Linked DNA regions of Daphnia pulex. The protein of the gene in region 2 purifies or fractionates together with the protein of the main gene of each other region. This does not show direct contact. Links are inferred from orthologs where the notes say so. Each region holds a gene or a part of one and is shown on either strand. Other genes may lie near its edges. The genes, in order: cullin-2-like, UBX domain-containing protein 7-like and nuclear protein localization protein 4 homolog.

Region 1 (6,155 bases), on a different chromosome or scaffold from region 2:
GAGAACCGAGACAGTTCTAAAACCGCAATTGTACAGCGAAATTTAAATTTATATATATTTTTTTCTTCAGTGTTCTGGTTTTAGATGAAATTGACCAAATGTCCACGAGAGACCAATCAGTCCTTTACGCCCTCTTCGAACTGCCAGCGTTGAAAAATTCTCGCCTTATTTTGATTGGCCTGGCTAATGCTTTAGACTTGACTGACCGAGCCCTGATTAGACTTCAAAGCCGTGTACAGTTTAAGCCCGTCCTTCTCAATTTCTCGCCTTATTCAAAGCAGGATATTGTAACCATTCTGAGCCAGCGAATCCGAGAAGTGGTCACTGAAGATGTAGGCAATCTAATAGCTCCTTCAGCCCTGCAGTATTTGGGTGGCAAAATATCTTCTACATCTGGAGATCTGCGTAAAGCCATTGACATCTGTAGACGAGCAGTCGAGTTGGCCGAAACCTCCGCCAAAAAGCAGTTAGTGTTGGCACCATCGAATTCGGAACCTCAAAATAGCGCATCAATACCGACAAACAAATGTGTGAACATTCCTCTTCTCTGCAAGATGATGGCTTCAGTTGAAAGTAATGCATTCTCTTCTGCGAACAACGACGATGTAGATGAAACCCCTCTGCAACAAAAGCTAATTATTGTGACACTTCTCGTGCTAGTCAAATTCGGGAAGGCAAAACAAGTGACGTTGGGTAAACTACACGAGTCATACAGCAAAGTTTGTTCCAAGTACGGTGTGACTAAAATAGACTTCGATGAATTTTCACATACTTGCTCTCTGGTCGAGAGCCGAGGTATCGTGACCCTGAAGAAAAAGAGTAATTCTCGCCTTGCGCCAATCTGTCTACGGCTTGACGAGCGTGAAGTGGAATCCACACTTAAGGACAAGACTCTCTTATCATCAATTCTCGCTCAAGGATCTTTATTCGTTTAATTTGTCTGTAATATCAATCACGTGTCCGCCAAACTTTACAAGTAGTGTAGTATCTGAGACTATTTTAAAGCTGTTTAACTTTACCTATAATACAATTTCTTGCCTATAACAGTGCATTTTATCTTTTAAAAATCTTTTCCGTAGTTGCCAACATTTATTTTGTATGCTTTGTATTTCTAATACTGCACTTTAAACGATGTTCAAAGTGTGTAAGTAAGAATTTCTAAGTTCACACAGCAAGGAAAAACCGATGAAAAATATCAAATGGAAAAATTATTCATGTACAATATGAGAAATACCCCAAAGGCCCAACAATCCCTTACCATCTCGACGCGGTTTTCTTTTCAACAATTTCAAAAATTCACGCCAAAGTATTACAGCATGATATTGCGAACTAACGTTGAGATTGCATTTTCTATGCCACATAGCTATATTCGTCCGTTGAATTAGGGGTACGCTCCAGGTACTGCTTGTCAATCAATGTCTCAATGCACTTTTTTATCATGCAAATGGGAGGAGCAAATCGGGGTTGGGACTGGCTCAACACCTCCTGAATTAAGACCATGTGGCGAAGAATCTTCCTAGATTTCATGATTCGAACGATTGTAGCCTTGGAAAGCCAAATGAAAAAAAAAAAAAAACTTTAGTTTGTTTTCGGATTTCTAACGCATTACGCTAAAATATTCGTATAATTCTTACCTGAAGGTACATTTTCCTGTCTTCGTTTACAGAAGAATGCGTCGTCTCGGTTTCTTGGACAGTCTCCTTTTGGATAGTGTTGTTAATACGAAACTTGGTTCGTTTGTTACTATAATCCATATTGAGGGAAATGACTGTAGATGGTTGGAAAACTTCGACAGTGTCACTAGTTACTGCCAAAAGCTTTGAGTCGACTAAGCTCTGAAGGACCTTTTGGAATTGATCCGAGTTAAGCTTCGTGGCTTCCATGAGTTCTCCACAAGTCACGGAATTGGTCTTTTGAAAGACAAGAAGCATTGCCATTTGGAAGGTTCCCATGGTGATGAAGTAACGCTTTTTCAAGTAGTTCAGTTTCAGCTCTCCGTAACTCAAGTGATGTAGCCATGCAAGCTTCCGGCCGTTAAACTGTAGACGATAGAAATCTTCAAATTCTTGGACCGATTTTTCCAACTCTTGGGGTACGGCGAAATCGGTAGGGCAGACTTGTCTAGGCCACGCACCGGTTTGCAAGACATAGATGGAGAAGTTGAGACCTAATTCAATCATCCGATCTTTGTTCAGCAGATTAAACTTGTTGTTCAGGTCTGATGAGACGGACATGTCCGTGAACATTCGATGAAGTTTGTTGGTAAACTCATATCCGCATGCCTGTTTCAATCGGTTGATCATTGCCTCTTCAGCGTCCATACTTTGACTCTGTTGTGAAATCAATCGATGTGCCAACTTCCGTGAGTAAAAAGCTTGATAAACATCCTTGTCGTCGATGTACTTGAATACAGTAATGCACTGTGTTAACTTATCGTCAACTTCGGTGTCACTACCGCCTTTTGTTGACTTCTTCAAGAGAGTATCACAATACTTGGCAAGTAGTTCTGGAGACCTACAATTTTGTTTAGTATTGAAGCGATGGTTGACGACTGCAGCACAGGCCATATCTAGAGCGCTGCTAAATAGCTGATCATTACTGAAAACAGTGTTGGTGATCTCCTTGTACTTGGAGTGGACACTAAGCATGCCCTCTACAAACTGGGCAGCAATGTTGTCTCCTGACAGGTTAGTCACTGTTCGCAATCCTTGTTGTTTGATGTGTTCCATGACGTGCGACACCAGAACAGTCAAACCTCCCGGAATCGACTGAACAAATTTTAGAAAACAATTAAAATTTATACTACGAGGCAATAAGATAAGCTCTCACCTTCAACAACGCGTACGCATTTCGAAGATCTTGTTGGAGTTCTTGTTGAACCATTGTCGGGCACTCGTTGTGGATAGCCGCCAAGTGATCTGCTACCATTCGTTTTTCGCATTCAGTTCGAACTTTACTGTAAGAGCTTGGGTGCAGGAATTTCCGACTACGTAAATCTTCTTCGTCCCGACGTTGCAAAACTTTTTCCATATACAAGGAAATTGTGCATTCCTGTAACAAGCGACTAGCTTCTTGCCTAAATTTGACCAAACAACTGTAATATGCAAATTTTTAACATTTTAATTATTTCTTACTTGTAGTATTCACCGGTCGCTTCAAGAAATGGCCCTTCAAAAACAGCCTCATAAAGTTCGAGGGTGTTCTTCTTCTTGTATTCCTCGACTGAAACAAACGACTGAATCACACCCTGAATTGTTGATGACTTTTCATTATACAAAGATTGTCCAGTTCGGTCACAATGTATGCCTCCCAAAAGTAATCTCAGCAAGTCGGCTTTCAATGGCTCTATCATATACTTCTTCCACAAATCCAAACCTAGCAAGCAAGTTTCGATAAGGATTCAGTACACCAAAAAAATTACAAATAGTGATTACCCAATTCTCCGATTTCTTTCATTTGTTCAGGTGATTCATAAGACAATGTCCCATAAAGAAGCTCGGCATCAGATGCTTTTTGTTTCTTGATGTGTTGGGTATTAAGGTATCTGTATTTGAATTAAAAGCATGTATTAACTTGTTTTATTAGAGAAAAGAAATGAATAAATTACGAGTAAAGTTTGTGCAAATAGTCCATTCCTTGGCTATATTGCTGCCAAAGTGTGTAATACACAGTCAGAAGCTGTTCTTCACTGGTGCCGTTCACTTGGATGAAAAGAGATTTAACATGCTCCTCCAAAAACTTTTTAGTTTCTTGGTACAATTTCTCAGCTAAAGGTTCTGGGTAAGCCACGCAGAGGGAATACACATCACTGAATCGATTGTACCATATAGTATGAGGAACATTTCCCAGAGTTACAACACCTTTAACTGTTTCCTTTAAATCAGCCCAAGTTGTGGTAAAGTCTACACGCTTCGGTTTAAGAGACATTTTGTGCAGTTATTAGAACAGCTGAATCAAAGTCCAAAAAGTGGATCATAGGAATTTTACAAAAAAAGCCAGAGTCCCTATTTCCAAGTTCAACGGGAGAAAACCAAAACTGATCTTCGTACAAACGATCATGCAATGACTACTGGCAATAGCAATGAAAAGACCTTAAGTTATTTACTTGTTTTTCGTATCGTAAATGAAGGACAAAGTTTCAGATTCCTTGAATAATCAATTTACTCGAGAATCTTAAGACCCTGGGGTTAAATAAGAATACAATTGGTTTCACAGAACAAGGATTCTGAAGATTAATAAAACGATTGCGCAGTGTGGGTTCGTCTGCTCTGGCCCCTTTGGCCTTCGCGAAGAAACGGAAAAGTTGTTTAGTTTATCATCAGATGGCAGCTCATTATTAGTAGTTATTCGTCTGCTGCGTATCACGAAAGAAAAAGTTAACCATAATACGAAAATAGTTTGTTTTTTTTTTACTTGGAATTCATAAACATTAATATCAAATCAAGTGTACAGGTTAGTATGGCTGGAACTGAGGACTACTCGTTCTATTACAGTTTAGAAAATTCTCCCTTTTGGATAAAAAAAGCTGATTCTGCTGCTTCTGCAGTAACTGATGGTAGGATACAACATGAAAACAAAGCTATTACGTCGCCGAAATATAGATATGGTATTAACAGTGACTTTTATCATCACACATTTTTTTGCAATGACTTTACATAATTTTTATTTTCTTGTAAGATGATATGATTGATGCAAGTAGAATCCCAAATCCCAGTTTTGGTATTATGAGACTAGCAGCTGAAAATCTACTATGCCATCCATTTTTAGTTCTGCGAAGACAGTGTCAGGTGAAAAATTCTTTACGTTAATTTGATAGTAAATTTTTTAATACTGCTTATCTGTAGGTTAATGTATTTTCTAGAAAATACCATACACTACCTTTCAGCTTGGTCCCAGTAGTCATTAGGCTACACCAAAGACAAAGCATGACTGTGTTATGGAAAGGAATTGGCAGTGCTTTAATTGTGAGAGGTCTCACATTAGCCATTGAGGATGTACTGAGCAAGATAACACCATGGCCAAAGTAATTTAGCATATAAAGTGGCAAATGTTGCCATGTAAGCTGTCCTCTTGTGTTCATTGAAATAGCCAGTGTGTGTTTATATTTAGACTGACAGAATATTCACTTGTTTTTGTTTTTTTTTTCTTTTTTTTTTAGAGAAATTGATCGTAACAGCTCATTGAAAGCAATTGGACACCACATCCTCTTGAAAAGGTATCACAAAAACACATTGAAATTGTCATACGACAATTATTAGCAGATATCTAAAGAATTTTTAAATCTATTTTTTGGTTCCCTAGCGTTTCCCTAGCTGTCGTGATCCCATTTTATGCAGCAAGTGTTGTAGAAACTGTTCAATCTGATATTGCAAGTGAAAAGCCGGGTATCTTTGATGTTTTTCAAGAAGGGATTTATAGGTTCTTAAGCTGGTCTGCCCCCCAAACAGGTAAAACATTTTTCCAAAATATTTACTAGGATTCTCTATTGCATCATTTAAAATATTTTTAGGTCGATTGTTACCAATATGGATTATTTTGTGCCCTGCTGTTTTATGTGGGACGGTTCATTACATCGTCTCAGTGCTTTCAGCGGGATTGACTCGCTGGGGAATGACCTCAGCTAAAAAACGAAGCCAGCGTAAACAGGTAGGTTTTTGTAGTAACTGTTGATTTAACTCTGATATTTTCAATACGCTCGGAATTTTCTATATTGAAATAATTAATATTCACTTGATTTCAGGGTGCCCTTTCTAAAGAAGTGAGTTTCGTCGAAGCAAACGATCTTGACTTGTCTTCAAGATTTGCTGGGTCGTTAGTGGCGGACGTATTACTCTTTCCCTTCGAGACAGTTCTCCATAGGTACGATTATTTTCATTTTTTGAATTTAAATAATAAACTTAAACGCCTTCTGAATTTTCAACAGGCTGCATATTCAAGGAACACGTACTATTATCGATAATTTGGACACCGGTGCATCTGTTATACCAATTCTAACACGTTATGATGGCTTTTTCGACTGCTGGAATACAATTACCCGCGAAGAAGGGAGGTGGGGTCTGTACAAAGGGTTGGGGGCGTTAGTTTTGCAATACGCTCTCCAGCTTAGCATAATTAAAGGCTCATTATTCACCTTTTACCATATGGGAGACTTATTT
Region 2 (6,118 bases):
TCGTTGCCCTATGGTGAGTAATTTTATACGACCCATTTTTTTTAAATAGAAAGTTGGGATAACATAACCTTTTGTTAACGTAAAGTATATCTTTCGGAGCCAAAGTAATGAAAATCATCCTAACGCTGTCCGGCGTCATCTGCGCTATTCTACTCAGCGTTGCGCTTGCTTTAGCTTTATCTCATCCAAACAATTCCCAAACGAATTCAAACAATACAGCACAGATAGGCATTAACTTACTTGCCCCTACTGAGCCATGGGGATTTGGACGCGGAGAAGTACTACGCAGCATCACTAAACCCATAAAATTCTTTATTTTATGACTTTCTTTTGATGGTTTTCTTTTTAAGGTCTGGTACGGCGCTATGGTACAGGTCATATTTTCATTGGCAATCGGTTTTGGTACGCTTCCTTCTCTGTCATCTTCTACCTATTTCAGTCGAAATACTATCAGGTATTTGCTTTTGAAACTTTGTCTTTTTGATGAGTTAATGGTAACTCTAAACCTTCTTTCTACAACTTAGAGATGGCATTTTAATTTGGCTTATTAACATACTCTTTGCTGTACTTTCCGTAATTACCACATTCGCTTGGATTGGTATTTCGGGTCTACATGCTAAGGATGTAGTCCAACCGAATGCCTTCATCTACTTTATCTACTATAACATTTGTAATTCGCTATGGGCCGGTCTTGCTTTTGGACTAATCTTTCTTTCTGGATTGAACAGCATGGTAAAAGAGAAATCAAATTGTTACTATGACGTGTAAATATATATTGTTTTCGATTTATAGCTGCCTCTTATGTACGCCATTATTCAAAATCTTTATGAGAATTTCCCGGTTCTCGAGCAACGCTATCAAAAGTTGACTTACTGCTTGCTATTCATCGCTGTTTGGCTCATCAATATTCCTGGCCTCATTCCGGTGCTTTATTTATTCTCACGTCATTTATCTCTCCGTGTTTATGGTAGTAACTGACAGTATTTTATCTTCCCTTTCTAAGGCTGGAAATGAAGTCGTAACGATGTGGGATCATTACGCTGCAGGAGGCACTGTACTTACCTGTTTAATTATTCATCTAATTGGATGGCTGTGGGTCTATGGTAAGATTAATGCAAGTATCCCCTAAAGGTATTATTTTGAAACATTTATTTGTAATAGGCGGGAAGAATTTGAAGCGGGATTTTGAATTCATGATTAACCGATCTATAAACTCTTTCTGGAACGTATCTTGGAGTTATGTCACCATCATTGTTCTCGTCGTAAGTGACTTTGTGTTCTATTATTCTCTTTACATTACCCTATATAATTGGCGGATAAATTTTAGATTGCAGAACTCTGGGGATTCCTTGGTGTGCCATTAGATGGAACTACAGATTGTCTTTATCCTATTTGGATGGTGGCAACTGGGTGGTCCTTTTACCTCTTAGCTTTGGCTGTAGCTTGTGCTGTCGCCATCAAGACTGTGGTTCAGGAAACTGAATATGAATTGATCAAAAAGTTAACCAACTCGATGAAAGCTGATAGGCATTGGGGTCCGATAGATCCCCTTCTTCATTTCCATTGGAAAAGATCTATAGAATCGCCATCTGGACCAGTTCCTTATTCTATGGACACAATTTCGCGCCGATTGAAAGTGGAAGATGAACAGAAAATTGAAACAGACATCTCTTTGTTTGATCAGAATTCCATGCCTAAAAGTCATCGGGGTAGTATAACTATGGTTCGATTGCCTCATTATGAAAGGCACTATGACGAAAATGGCCTCACGATCGAATAATATAGAATTGCATCTACTTGTTTTTGTTGAAATGCTTTCTTGAGATCATGAATGTAAAATACCGATAAAAAAAATATATCGCGCCCTAAATACAAATTTAAATTTTCGCTTTTTCCGATCAATCATCAGATGGCGTTGCTCAAACATTTTTTTGTTTTCGGCTGTAGAGCTGCTAGACAGCTCTCACGTAATCAGCGTTTAAGAATAAAATAATCGTAACTTAATCATTTTAATATATTCGCAATGGATTTATCTGACGATTCTTCACGAGGTTCATCTTCGAAATCTAGTCGAAGTAAATCTCAAAGTGGGAGTGAAAAAAGTGCCAAGTCTAAAAGTAAATCTTGTGTAGTAACCAGAGAGCAGATAGAGCAGTTTTGTGCTGTCACAGGTATAAAATCAAGCTTAATCAGTTTATTCTCCTTGCCATGTGATGTTGAAACTAATGTCTTGTAAAATAGGTAGCACAGAAGATGTTGCACGAACCTTGATTGAAGCATGCAGGGGAAATCTGGAGAGAGCTGTTGACATGCATATGGAAGGACTTTCAGAAAATCCACAACCATCAGGCGCTCAAGAAGAAGAATATGTCCGGGCTCCAATTCCTCAAAAGCAGGAAGTCTTGGTAGAATCTGGATATGAAGGCTATGGATTTGGCTTCAAGGGGAAAAAGCGAATAGTCAAATCAGTGTTTGATTCCTTCAGAAATTTTGAAGTGGAAACAAGTAATATCTATGCATGTTTCCAATGTTCCAACATAAACATTTATCTATTTTACTCATAGAACTGCAAGAATCCAGATTAAGAGAAACCAATGGCTTAGCAACACCAGTTGCCGGAGCTAGTATGTCTGGAAAAAGAACCTTAGAAGAGCTATTTCGGCCACCTATAGATATGATGTTCAATGGAAACCTTCTCAATGCAAGTTTTTTTTTTAAATCTCTAAAGAGAGGTTTCTAACTCATCAAACTGTATTTTAATGTTACAGGCAAGAGATACAGGAAAGACAGTGAAAAAGTGGATTATGGTTAACATTCAAAATATATCTGAATTCAGATGCCAATTATTAAATCGCGATGTTTGGTCTCAGAAGTCAATCAAAAACCTTGTTCGAGAGAATTTCTTATTCCTCCAGGTAAGATAGCCAGCGCCAATTTATTTCTACCATAAACACTCTCTTATTCGTGGTGGTTAGTTAATAACTATTCTCAAAGCTGTTCCTTATCAAAGCAATTCCATGCATAACTTGTGTATTTTATTTCAGTTGTATATGGACAGCGAAGAGGGTCAGCGATATATGAATTTCTACAAGGTTAACCAATGGCCATATGTTGCCGTTTTGGATCCCAGAACTGGAGAGTTGATGGTCGAATGGAATTATTCAGAAACTAGTGCCTATGAGACGCTGATTGCTGAATTTTTGGCAACTACTTCATGGGGAGATGAGGAAAAAAGTGCCTGCGCTCCATCAGATCCCAAGAAGAGACGAGTGGTAATAAGAATCCTAAAACTTTTTACTGTATTGGTCTCGAGAAGGTTTTCTTTATTGGGTAATAATAATAATTTCCTCTACTTTTTCTTTTTGAAGGAAACTATTCTGGATGCAAGCGAAGATGATCAGTTACAAGCAGCCATCCGAGCTTCGTTAGCTGCGTCAACAGCCCAAAATCAAAAGGCACCTGTATCGGACGACGAGTTTCAAAGCGATGAAGACGAGGACCAACCCACCGAGTGGTTTGACTCTGAATCCGACAGTCGAGCTAGCGAACCACGGAAAACAGAACCCGAGCCACCACAACCGGTGGGAAATCGTCTCGAGGCCTCCGGAACAGCAGATGACGACTGGGAAAGGCATTTGGGTCCCGAAGCAGATCCAATCTCATCAATTGTTTTTCGCTTTCCAGACGGTTCCAAGGAACAAAAAGCACTTCCTTGCACTTCTACTTTGATGGTGAGTAAATGGCGACCACCAGAACGTTTTTTTGTGTACATTTTGAAAAACAAACTTTGACAAAAGATTCAAGGATGATGAGCTTTTAACTATCATGTTAAGAAAATACCTGGGCTAAATCAAAAGCTTTTGGGTTTATTCTATTGCGATAAAACTGTTGTGTCGCTCGTAGCGAATCAGCCTACCGGATCGGATCTTTCAATCAGCATTCTTGAACTTCTTCTTTTTTTGAAAACCTTGAAAACATTTCTTTCACATTGTTCGCTAACCTCAAATGCAACAACATTGACGCTTTTATCCCTTTGCAAGCTTGTTAACAAAATTTGGCCTTTTTGAAAAAAGACTTTCAAAATCGTTAGTTTATTCAAAATTAAACTCTCTTGAATTATTGCAGGCCGTAGTCAAGTATGCAGCCCGCAAAGGATTTCCGCGTGATAAATTCGAACTGATGGCCAACTTCCCGAAGCGACTGCTCTTGACAATGGACAGTGAAATGACACTTAAAGATGCTGGTCTTTTCCCGCACGACACCATATTTGTTCAGGCTAGATAATAGCTAGACAAAATATGTTTGTCCTGTGTAAAAGAGAAAAGAAACAAGACAGTGCACCAAACTACAAAATTACATTCGTGCGCCTCAAGCTCAATTGTCTCATCCTTTTTTGTCTCACCCAGAGCTGTTCCTGTTTCTTCCTTTTTCCTTCCTTTTTAACTTAATTTTATTAATGCTCGTCTACCTCGTGTACCCAGGTTGTGTTCGTCACAGGGTCAAGATGGAAGAACACAAATTTAAATCTCAAACCTTATTAATTAAAAGCGCTTTACATGACCATCAACGTGCGCCCGGAATCGTTCAAATAAATACACTGCATTTTTTTCCCTATTCTTTTCGATTAATGTGCACTCGGTATTATTGCGTTTTGCTTGTGCTGCCTCATTCAGGTGTCGTCGAGTGGAACGTGCGCGTCTCCAATTTCTCTCTCTCGGTTCCGAATTCCACGCAGTGTGCAACTTTAGATACAAAGTTAGTCATGCAAGGCGGTTATTATCTCTTGATGGAATAAACGGCCGCGTCCCTCGGCAATGGTTGTAAATTTATTGACTCGCGTCGATTGTCGGACATTGGCGCTTCGTGGTGGAACAAAACAACCCCCTCTGCTTTATTATAAATGGATGGGAAAAAAAGGAAGCCAGAAACACATTAATAATAGCCGCAAAAAAGAAATGTGTTGGAAAAAAAAACTTTACTTTCATTCAATCAGGTATATATTATTTTTCCTTATTCCCTTAGGGGGGTGATGGCGGGGACGTTAAATCCCTCCCCCATTTCATTCTCGGCGCGGTTCTCTCCAGAAGAGCCCGACAGATGGCTTATTGCGGTTTTCCCAGCGAGCGACCGTTTTTTTTTTTTTGAAAATGGCGACAAGAAGTAAAATATTGACGTTTGCTGGTGGTGTGTTCTGCCCGTTCTTAATACCCATTCTTTAGAAAAAAGGTTTTCTGTTTTTTTCCCAGTCGAGTTTTTATATCTCTTTTAACTTGATTTCAAAACCAGTGGACCAGCGGGCAGGAAGAGCGAGGGAAAAAAGGAGAGAGTTTTCAGTCTCGTGAGAGTGGCCAGTATACCAGGTTGTTGTGTTGTGTGTGTGTGTGTGTCTGCTGTGTACGTCGGCAAGAATCTTAGTGGATGGCAGTTATTCCGTGATCGGAAACGATAGTGGACAGTCTCTCTCCCAACTTGCTCTCAGTGCTTGAAATCGATACTTGGCTATTACCATGAACTACTGTGTTTCACCTCATCGTTGATGCAAGCTACCCATGACTCAAGGTATAGTTGTCTCATTCTTTATTCATCTATCACAACCCACGTTCCTCAGGGTTTGAGATTACCATAACCTTGGCTGTGGGCAATGCAACAAGTTGACAGTACTTGTCGCTGTCTCACTCTCTTTCATCCATCACTACCTACGTTTTCATGAAGGTGAAACATTATCATATCATTGGCAATCAGAATTCAACAAGATGACAGTCCCAGTTAAAATGTGGGCTCTCCGGCCAGACAAAGAAAAAAAAAAAAGAACCAGTGACTAAAGTCTGACTAAAGTGCAACATTTTGAAGCTGACTCATTTTTGGCGCCCAGTAGAGGTCGCGGCTGCGCGATGCTCTAGACGCCAACTGCGCCGGCGCCCATTTGTTATTTCCTCCCCCTTCCTCGTCCCTATACATCCATCCAGACTCCTAAAAACATGTGTGCTAACCCCAGGGTCGTAGCTTTTTTCTTATTTTCCTTATTTTGCTAATCACAACAAAAGTCGTGACGAAGACCAGCCACCCCATACACAACTGTGCGTTGCACATGCCCAAACCCTACGATTCTTCCGGTTTT
Region 3 (6,084 bases), on a different chromosome or scaffold from region 2:
CTGCACTCGTCTTTCCCTCGTTTTTTCCTAGATTTGGAAGTCGACGGAATCGTTGAAGGCCGCGTAGTATTGGAAACCCGACCAGATGTGGCGCCCAAGATGGCCAAGAATTTCGCATCGCTTTGCATGGGTGAGAAAGGATTTGGCTACAAGGGATGTCAAGTTTTCCAATGTTGGGGAGGAGAGTCGTGCATCGCCGGTGACTTTGAATGCAATTCCGGGCGTGGGGGACGATCCATCTACGCGGAAGAACCCTTCTTCATGCCCGACGACAGCAAGCTGCCCTGCATTCGAGCGGCGATCGGCATGAGACGAACGCAAAAAAAGCATCACAGCCAAGGGCTAGTGGGATCCCAATTCCGTATTCTACTTCGAGACATGCCCTTCTTCACTGGTGTCTTTGGCCACGTCATCCACGGATTGGAATTGGTGGAACGCGTTTCTTTTCTGGGCGATCATCAAGGCTTCCCTCGCAAACTCATCACCGTGGCCAATTGTGGATTGCTCAGTTAGAAGACAACGTTTCGCGACTTTTCTGTGTTTGCTGCTTTTCTTCTCAAAAAAAAACAACAACAACAACAAAAAAGAAAAAAATGCAAGAGGCATCGGGATGCACCCGAAAGAACCTAATATTTTTCTCCTAACCCTTCGAAAGCAACGAGTTTTTTTTTCACGTAGTGAAATGTAACAACTTGGCTCTACATCTGACCCTTTTCTTTTGACGACCGATACAAATTATTGCATCGCCCAGTTTCAATACTGCCACATGTTGTTTGGTAAATAGCAAGAATTGTTGTTATTTCTTTGTCGTACTTCTTTTTTTTCTGTCGTCGATTTAGTTATTATTACCCTCTTTCTATTTCCGCTACATTTCGTCGCCCCCATTCGTGAAGTTCGGATCAAGCATTTGAAAAATTGTCCCACTTTTTTTTTTCCTCCTCTACCAAACTTTAGCTCCCGCCCCCCTCCACCGTTGTGTTATGGTGCCTACGTTTTGTGTTTTTGGCGTAAACGTTGAAAAAAAAAATATTTCATTTAGTCTTTATTAACATCGTGTGGAAGGCAAAAAAAAAAAAAATGCTACTTTTTTTTTGTCCAACGAATTTTTTAGGTTGTTACAACACGTCGACATGTCTAGTCTGTCAGTGTGTGCGTGTGCGCGTATGTGTCGGGAAAAATACGGAGTGCCTTTTGGTTTTCGCTTATGTCGCACCTTCCTCGGCTTGTTACCTTTACCCCTTCCCTCTTTTTCGGCGTATCGGAATTTATTAATGTCTCGAGTTTATCGTGGTTGTTACGGACTAAAACTTTCTCTAGCTCCTTCCTAATTCTTCTAATACCTGTAAACTAAAGAGTAAAAAAGAAAAAAAAAAAAACACTCCATCCACAGTGGAATTTGAAAGGGAAACCTGAACGCTGAAATACACGTAACGATCGCTGTCGACCCTACTCCTTTTGCTCGCATTCTTTTCGGATAAATACTAAAAAAATAAAAATAAAATAATAATAATTAAAAGCACTGACCTTATAGTAAACATCTGGGATGTACTTTTCGGCTGTAGACTGGCGGGCGTATGCTAACTCTGGAGCGTCTTTGGTAGGCACTAAGCACTCATCTCGAACTAAGGCTTGGCATTGATTGGAAACCTGATAACCTTCCATGTGCACCTGATTCTGCGAGTCACCTGCAAACAGATTATGTCCGTTGTAAGTTTCCGATTAGTTTGAATTAAATTTTTAGCAAATGTTTACCGGTAACACAAACAGTGACGAATTTAGAGCCAAAGTAGCCATCAGACGACAAGCGGCATGGGTTCGGATGAAGTGACTGGAAATGGCCAGCCATGATGCATTCTTGCGCAGAGAGAAAGTGCGTTTCTGCATTGCGGAAATGGCGAACAGTTCCTTTGGACACATCTTCTGCCACCAAGTCGGTAAAAATCCATCCAATACACTGAAGTCCAAGCTTGGCAGCCACACGGTCGACAACAGATTGCCGGTTGTCCGGAAGCAGCAAGCGAACAGAATCACGTGTCGATTCCTAAAAATTAATCCATTCCATCAGATTACATTCTTTACATGTTTCGGATGTGAATACTTGACGTACCTGTGGAGGCTCATAAATTGCTGCGACTATTCCTTTGATTCCAAGTGGCACATCCAAATGAATGTCAAATCTGGTAGAATTGAACATTTTAGTTTGATTTTGGAGAAATAAATTGATCAACTTCGAATTTCATTTTTACCTTCCATAGAGGAATCCGATTCGCTGTCGCCCGGTTACACGCCAGTAATGAAGAAATTGTTCGACTAGGTTTGGATTTTCAAAGACAACGTTGTCAACGTGTCTGTAAGCCTGTAGGATTTGAAACAAAGATTAATATGGTTTACATGTTGGAGCGGCAAATGGAATATTACTTGACTGTTCAGAGTAATGGCTTTCGGTTGGCATTTAGAGCACACACCTTTGGGCCATGGCGGATGACCAGTGCAACCAGGTTTAATCCGACAACTTATGTTATCCAAATTAGCATATTTTCCTCCGTCTAACCCACTAGACAGTTTCCGTAAGTAAGCGTGAAACGACATATGTTTGACGTTCAGCTCCTTTAGGTACGAAGCGTCGTATGGTTCCAATGGTAGACAATGAATGCAAGACGAATTTTCTCCATGGAGACAACTATCATTAAAAATAAATGCTGTTATTTTTCATGTCGGATGAATATCGGTTATTTTATAATACACCGCTTTTTACTATAATCCTTACATATTAGCCACAATGTCTCTGCATAATTTAGATTACATTATATTAGACTATTGCTTATTCTAAGGAAGCTTTCAAATAAAATTAGAACACAACTGATTACAATATTAGTCCAATACGTGCACTGTAAAAACTCACTTTTTGGGATCACGTTTTCTCTTGACAGTTCCATCCATTTTCTGTAGAATTACATCAACTTGATCTTCCTCTACATTAGATCGAATAGGTATTTTGGATCCATGCATGCTACTAGTTGATGGAAGGAAGGTTGTCGATGAAGCAGTGCTCACTCCATTTTTTACTTTAAGCACAGAAGCATCCTGTTCACCGTGCTGAACTGCACCAGCAATAGGTGACAAGTATATCATATCACCATGCTGAAGCCCATAACTTGCCATAGTCTTTGCATTCGATGAAACAATTTCTTGAGATTTATCACGTTTGCAGTACAAGGCAAAAGAATAACCTATATTTCCAAAGGTATTGAGGACCTAAGAAAAAAATTACAAAATTATTTGTGGGTTTTGCATTGTATTAATTATGGGGTCAATTCTTCTATACCTTTTCAAACAGTTCCCTGGTTACGGTGACATTGTCAACATCCACACGCCGAGTACCTTCTGGAGATTGAACTCTCAACATCTATAGGAAATATTTGTTGCAATTAATATGGTTCTATATTTTGAAAAATTTCATCATATCACGTATGAAAACGTCCCATGTAAAGACAATAGGCAACAATAAAAACGAACGTTTCAAGATAAAGCAAAATTTATGAGCATTCCAAAAAAATGTGATATTGATAACAAATAACAAACGTATACCATCTTCAGTTTTTTAATATAATTTGGTAACTGCGGACCGATAAGTTCAGGTTGATTGTCCAGAAGATTTAACGACAAAAGACCGCAGCGGATGTTTTCGTTTACTCGATCAAATCAACTTTCAGTCAACTTTGAGTACTCGATACGTTCTGTTATGTGAAACGTCGTTGAGTACGAACGCTAGATGGCGAAAGAAATTTCACAATTTTGAAAAAAATTAAATAAAAAAGAATTTTCAAAAATTGTAATCTTTCGTTAATCAAGTTTTATTTACATTTAAAATCATTTCAAATTAAACAAAATGTTCTTTGTTTATTATATATTAGGCACCTTATAACATTGGTTGAAGTCTACGGAAACTCGAAGAAAAAGAAGTGATAAAACGAACCAAATAATTCATAAATTTGAGTACGCAATTAAACTAAAGCTAATAGAAAGTTTATATCTCGCAGATTTATACTTCATCACACTACCCACTTGAAGGATTACTTTGTATACTGATAACTAGCTATGTATAGGTATCCGATTAATTATATAAAGACTTGATTCAAGATAAGTAAAACGATTGGGAAACACGTTTCTTGTTCACTTCTCTCAAGACAGATACAAACACACATACACTCGAGGATACCAGAATGTCAGCCTGCAATCCCGCATTTTCATCACCATGCCAAATGAGACAGTCATGTCCGTTGTCTTGACGTAAGTTTAATAGATCACGAGAAACAAAGAGGGAAGTAAAGACACATGGAAATTATAGGAAAACGGGGTGGGGGAAAATTCATGTCAGGAGGGTAGGGTTGTGCTGATGATCAGATCTGCAACAAGAGAAGGTGCACTCGCCAGATGAAGTTTTGAAAAAATCACGAGTCAGTGCATCTAAACAACAGTATAGAGGATGAAAAGCAGTACATGGCCAAATTTGCCTTTCAGGAGGAGGGGGGAGGGTTATATGTCATAATATTCCACATGCAACATTTGAGCGTTCCAGCATCCGGCCCATCACAGAGAATATGTGCTGATGAGTCCCTTCTGTGTCACTGCAGTTCTACGCTTTGCTACCTCTCTAATAATAAGAAACAAAAGATAACATCGCTGCATTTGTCCTATATCAAATATGGATTTGTCGTGGTTGTTGGGTGTCTTTTTAGCTTGAGTTCATAAGGCAAATCAGGGCGCACGTAACGACAGTCGTACCCTGCCTGGAGTGTGATGAACCACGATGGAAAATCGAGACAAAATTTCTTACTGGTTCACTAAACTGAATGAAGCAAAGACGATCGTGAGATCTCGAACAGCCTCCCTTTTTGTTTTTAGTTAATCGTTAGTGATTTGACATACGCATGGAACCAGTTCGCTTATTAAATCGAAAGTCAACAGAGAAATGGGGAGAGGTGAATATTCATAACGAGACCGCAAGAAATATTGAAAATAATTATTAATAATAAAGAAAAAAAAAGAACGTCTTGGCTCAGGCAAGTCAGCTGCTGCCGGCGGATGCAAATGCCCATCAGAGCGGAGTTGACAACACAAAGACACATTTTGAGGGGGATGTCTACTTGCTCAAGATTTCCAATTTTGACGACCATCGCCATGACCCTGGCTTTGGCCCTGTGACGAGCGGGAGCCGGCACTGCTGGCGGCGGCAGCGGCCATGTTGGGCAGGTGTGGGAGCATGTCCAGCAGATATTGCCGTTGCAGTTCGGCCAAACTGGCGGCGGTAAAGGCAGCGGCGCTATTGTCTCGACTGCTGTTTCCGCTGCCTCCAGCTCCTCCGGATCCACCACCGCCGCTATTGCCTCTGCCCTGAGCTGCTGCTTGAGCAGCCGAAGCGGCCATGGCCAGCTGATAAGGGTACAGCAGTGAAGAGAAGGGATTCATGAGAGGGTTGTGAGCGTGACTCGACATGGACGCCGATCCCGAAGGCAATCCCATGCCTCTCAGCAGCTGGGCTTGCAGAGCATTTTGCATTGCAGACATTTGGTGACCAAAGAGCTTGGTCGGGTCGGGCATTTTCGAGAAATCGAAGCTAGCCGATGCGGCGGCGGCGGCAGCAGCGGCCGCCGCTGCGTTCGCCTGTCTCTCCTTTTCACGTTCGCGGTTCTCGTTTCGTTCACGCTCCCGTTCTCTTTCCCTTTCACGATCCCTTTCTCTCTCGCGTTCCCTTTCACGATGTTCACGAATTTCTCGTTCCCTTTCACGCTCCCTCTCGCGCTCTCTGTCGCGCTCTCGCTCCATTCGATCCTTGCCAACGGCTATGCTCAAGCTCACGGCCGAGTGTGATCCGACTAATGGGCTGTGAGCGGGAGCTGGCGTTCCACTGTTGATGGACTTTGTGGAGAAGGGGATAATTTGAGTAGAGGCCGGTAGCGAGTCATACGCTTTGGAATGGACGCTGGCGCTGGCGTGGGACGGAGCTGGCATCGGATGATGTGGAGGAATAGGCGGACTGATGTTGCCACCTTGCGCCAGACGTTGTTCGATTTCCTGCTCCTG

What was found.
Region 1: the proteins of UBX domain-containing protein 7-like (region 2) and cullin-2-like purify together in Homo sapiens (affinity purification with mass spectrometry; 6 studies listed by BioGRID and IntAct, with this or other methods). This does not show direct contact. The link is inferred for Daphnia pulex from reciprocal best matches to the Homo sapiens genes UBXN7 and CUL2.
Region 3: the proteins of UBX domain-containing protein 7-like (region 2) and nuclear protein localization protein 4 homolog purify together in Homo sapiens (affinity purification with mass spectrometry; 3 studies listed by BioGRID and IntAct, with this or other methods). This does not show direct contact. The link is inferred for Daphnia pulex from reciprocal best matches to the Homo sapiens genes UBXN7 and NPLOC4.

The regions. Positions count from the first base shown.
Region 1 is NC_060021.1:10,403,866-10,410,020, forward strand, and holds cullin-2-like, read right to left. Parts: upstream 4,291-6,155; 5' UTR 3,928-4,290; coding exon 3,608-3,927; intron 3,545-3,607; coding exon 3,435-3,544; intron 3,376-3,434; coding exon 3,135-3,375; intron 3,077-3,134; coding exon 2,830-3,076; intron 2,769-2,829; coding exon 1,635-2,768; intron 1,546-1,634; coding exon 1,351-1,545; 3' UTR 1,089-1,350; downstream 1-1,088. Other genes in the region: cell division control protein 6 homolog, read left to right, coding at 71-935; solute carrier family 25 member 46-like, read left to right, coding at 4,459-4,606, 4,678-4,787, 4,845-5,023, 5,159-5,215, 5,302-5,447, 5,510-5,646, 5,741-5,859, 5,924-6,155.
Region 2 is NC_060019.1:9,386,354-9,392,471, forward strand, and holds UBX domain-containing protein 7-like, read left to right. Parts: upstream 1-1,919; 5' UTR 1,920-2,023; coding exon 2,024-2,171; intron 2,172-2,241; coding exon 2,242-2,505; intron 2,506-2,564; coding exon 2,565-2,701; intron 2,702-2,768; coding exon 2,769-2,915; intron 2,916-3,044; coding exon 3,045-3,272; intron 3,273-3,368; coding exon 3,369-3,731; intron 3,732-4,125; coding exon 4,126-4,284; 3' UTR 4,285-4,611; downstream 4,612-6,118. Other genes in the region: sodium-dependent noradrenaline transporter-like, read left to right, coding at 1-13, 86-278, 351-454, 525-732, 793-924, 1,004-1,103, 1,162-1,262, 1,328-1,780. UniProt on the Homo sapiens protein: Ubiquitin-binding adapter that links a subset of NEDD8-associated cullin ring ligases (CRLs) to the segregase VCP/p97, to regulate turnover of their ubiquitination substrates.
Region 3 is NC_060023.1:4,656,777-4,662,860, reverse strand, and holds the start of nuclear protein localization protein 4 homolog, read right to left. Parts: upstream 3,750-6,084; 5' UTR 3,592-3,749; coding exon 3,589-3,591; intron 3,407-3,588; coding exon 3,326-3,406; intron 3,256-3,325; coding exon 2,903-3,255; intron 2,681-2,902; coding exon 2,419-2,680; intron 2,357-2,418; coding exon 2,247-2,356; intron 2,178-2,246; coding exon 2,108-2,177; intron 2,042-2,107; coding exon 1,753-2,041; intron 1,686-1,752; coding exon 1,525-1,685; intron 1,450-1,524; exon of another isoform or gene 514-1,449; coding exon of another isoform or gene 1-513. Other genes in the region: uncharacterized protein LOC124198209, read left to right, coding at 1-513; homeobox protein B-H2-like, read right to left, coding at 5,152-6,084. UniProt on the Homo sapiens protein: The ternary complex containing UFD1, VCP and NPLOC4 binds ubiquitinated proteins and is necessary for the export of misfolded proteins from the ER to the cytoplasm, where they are degraded by the proteasome.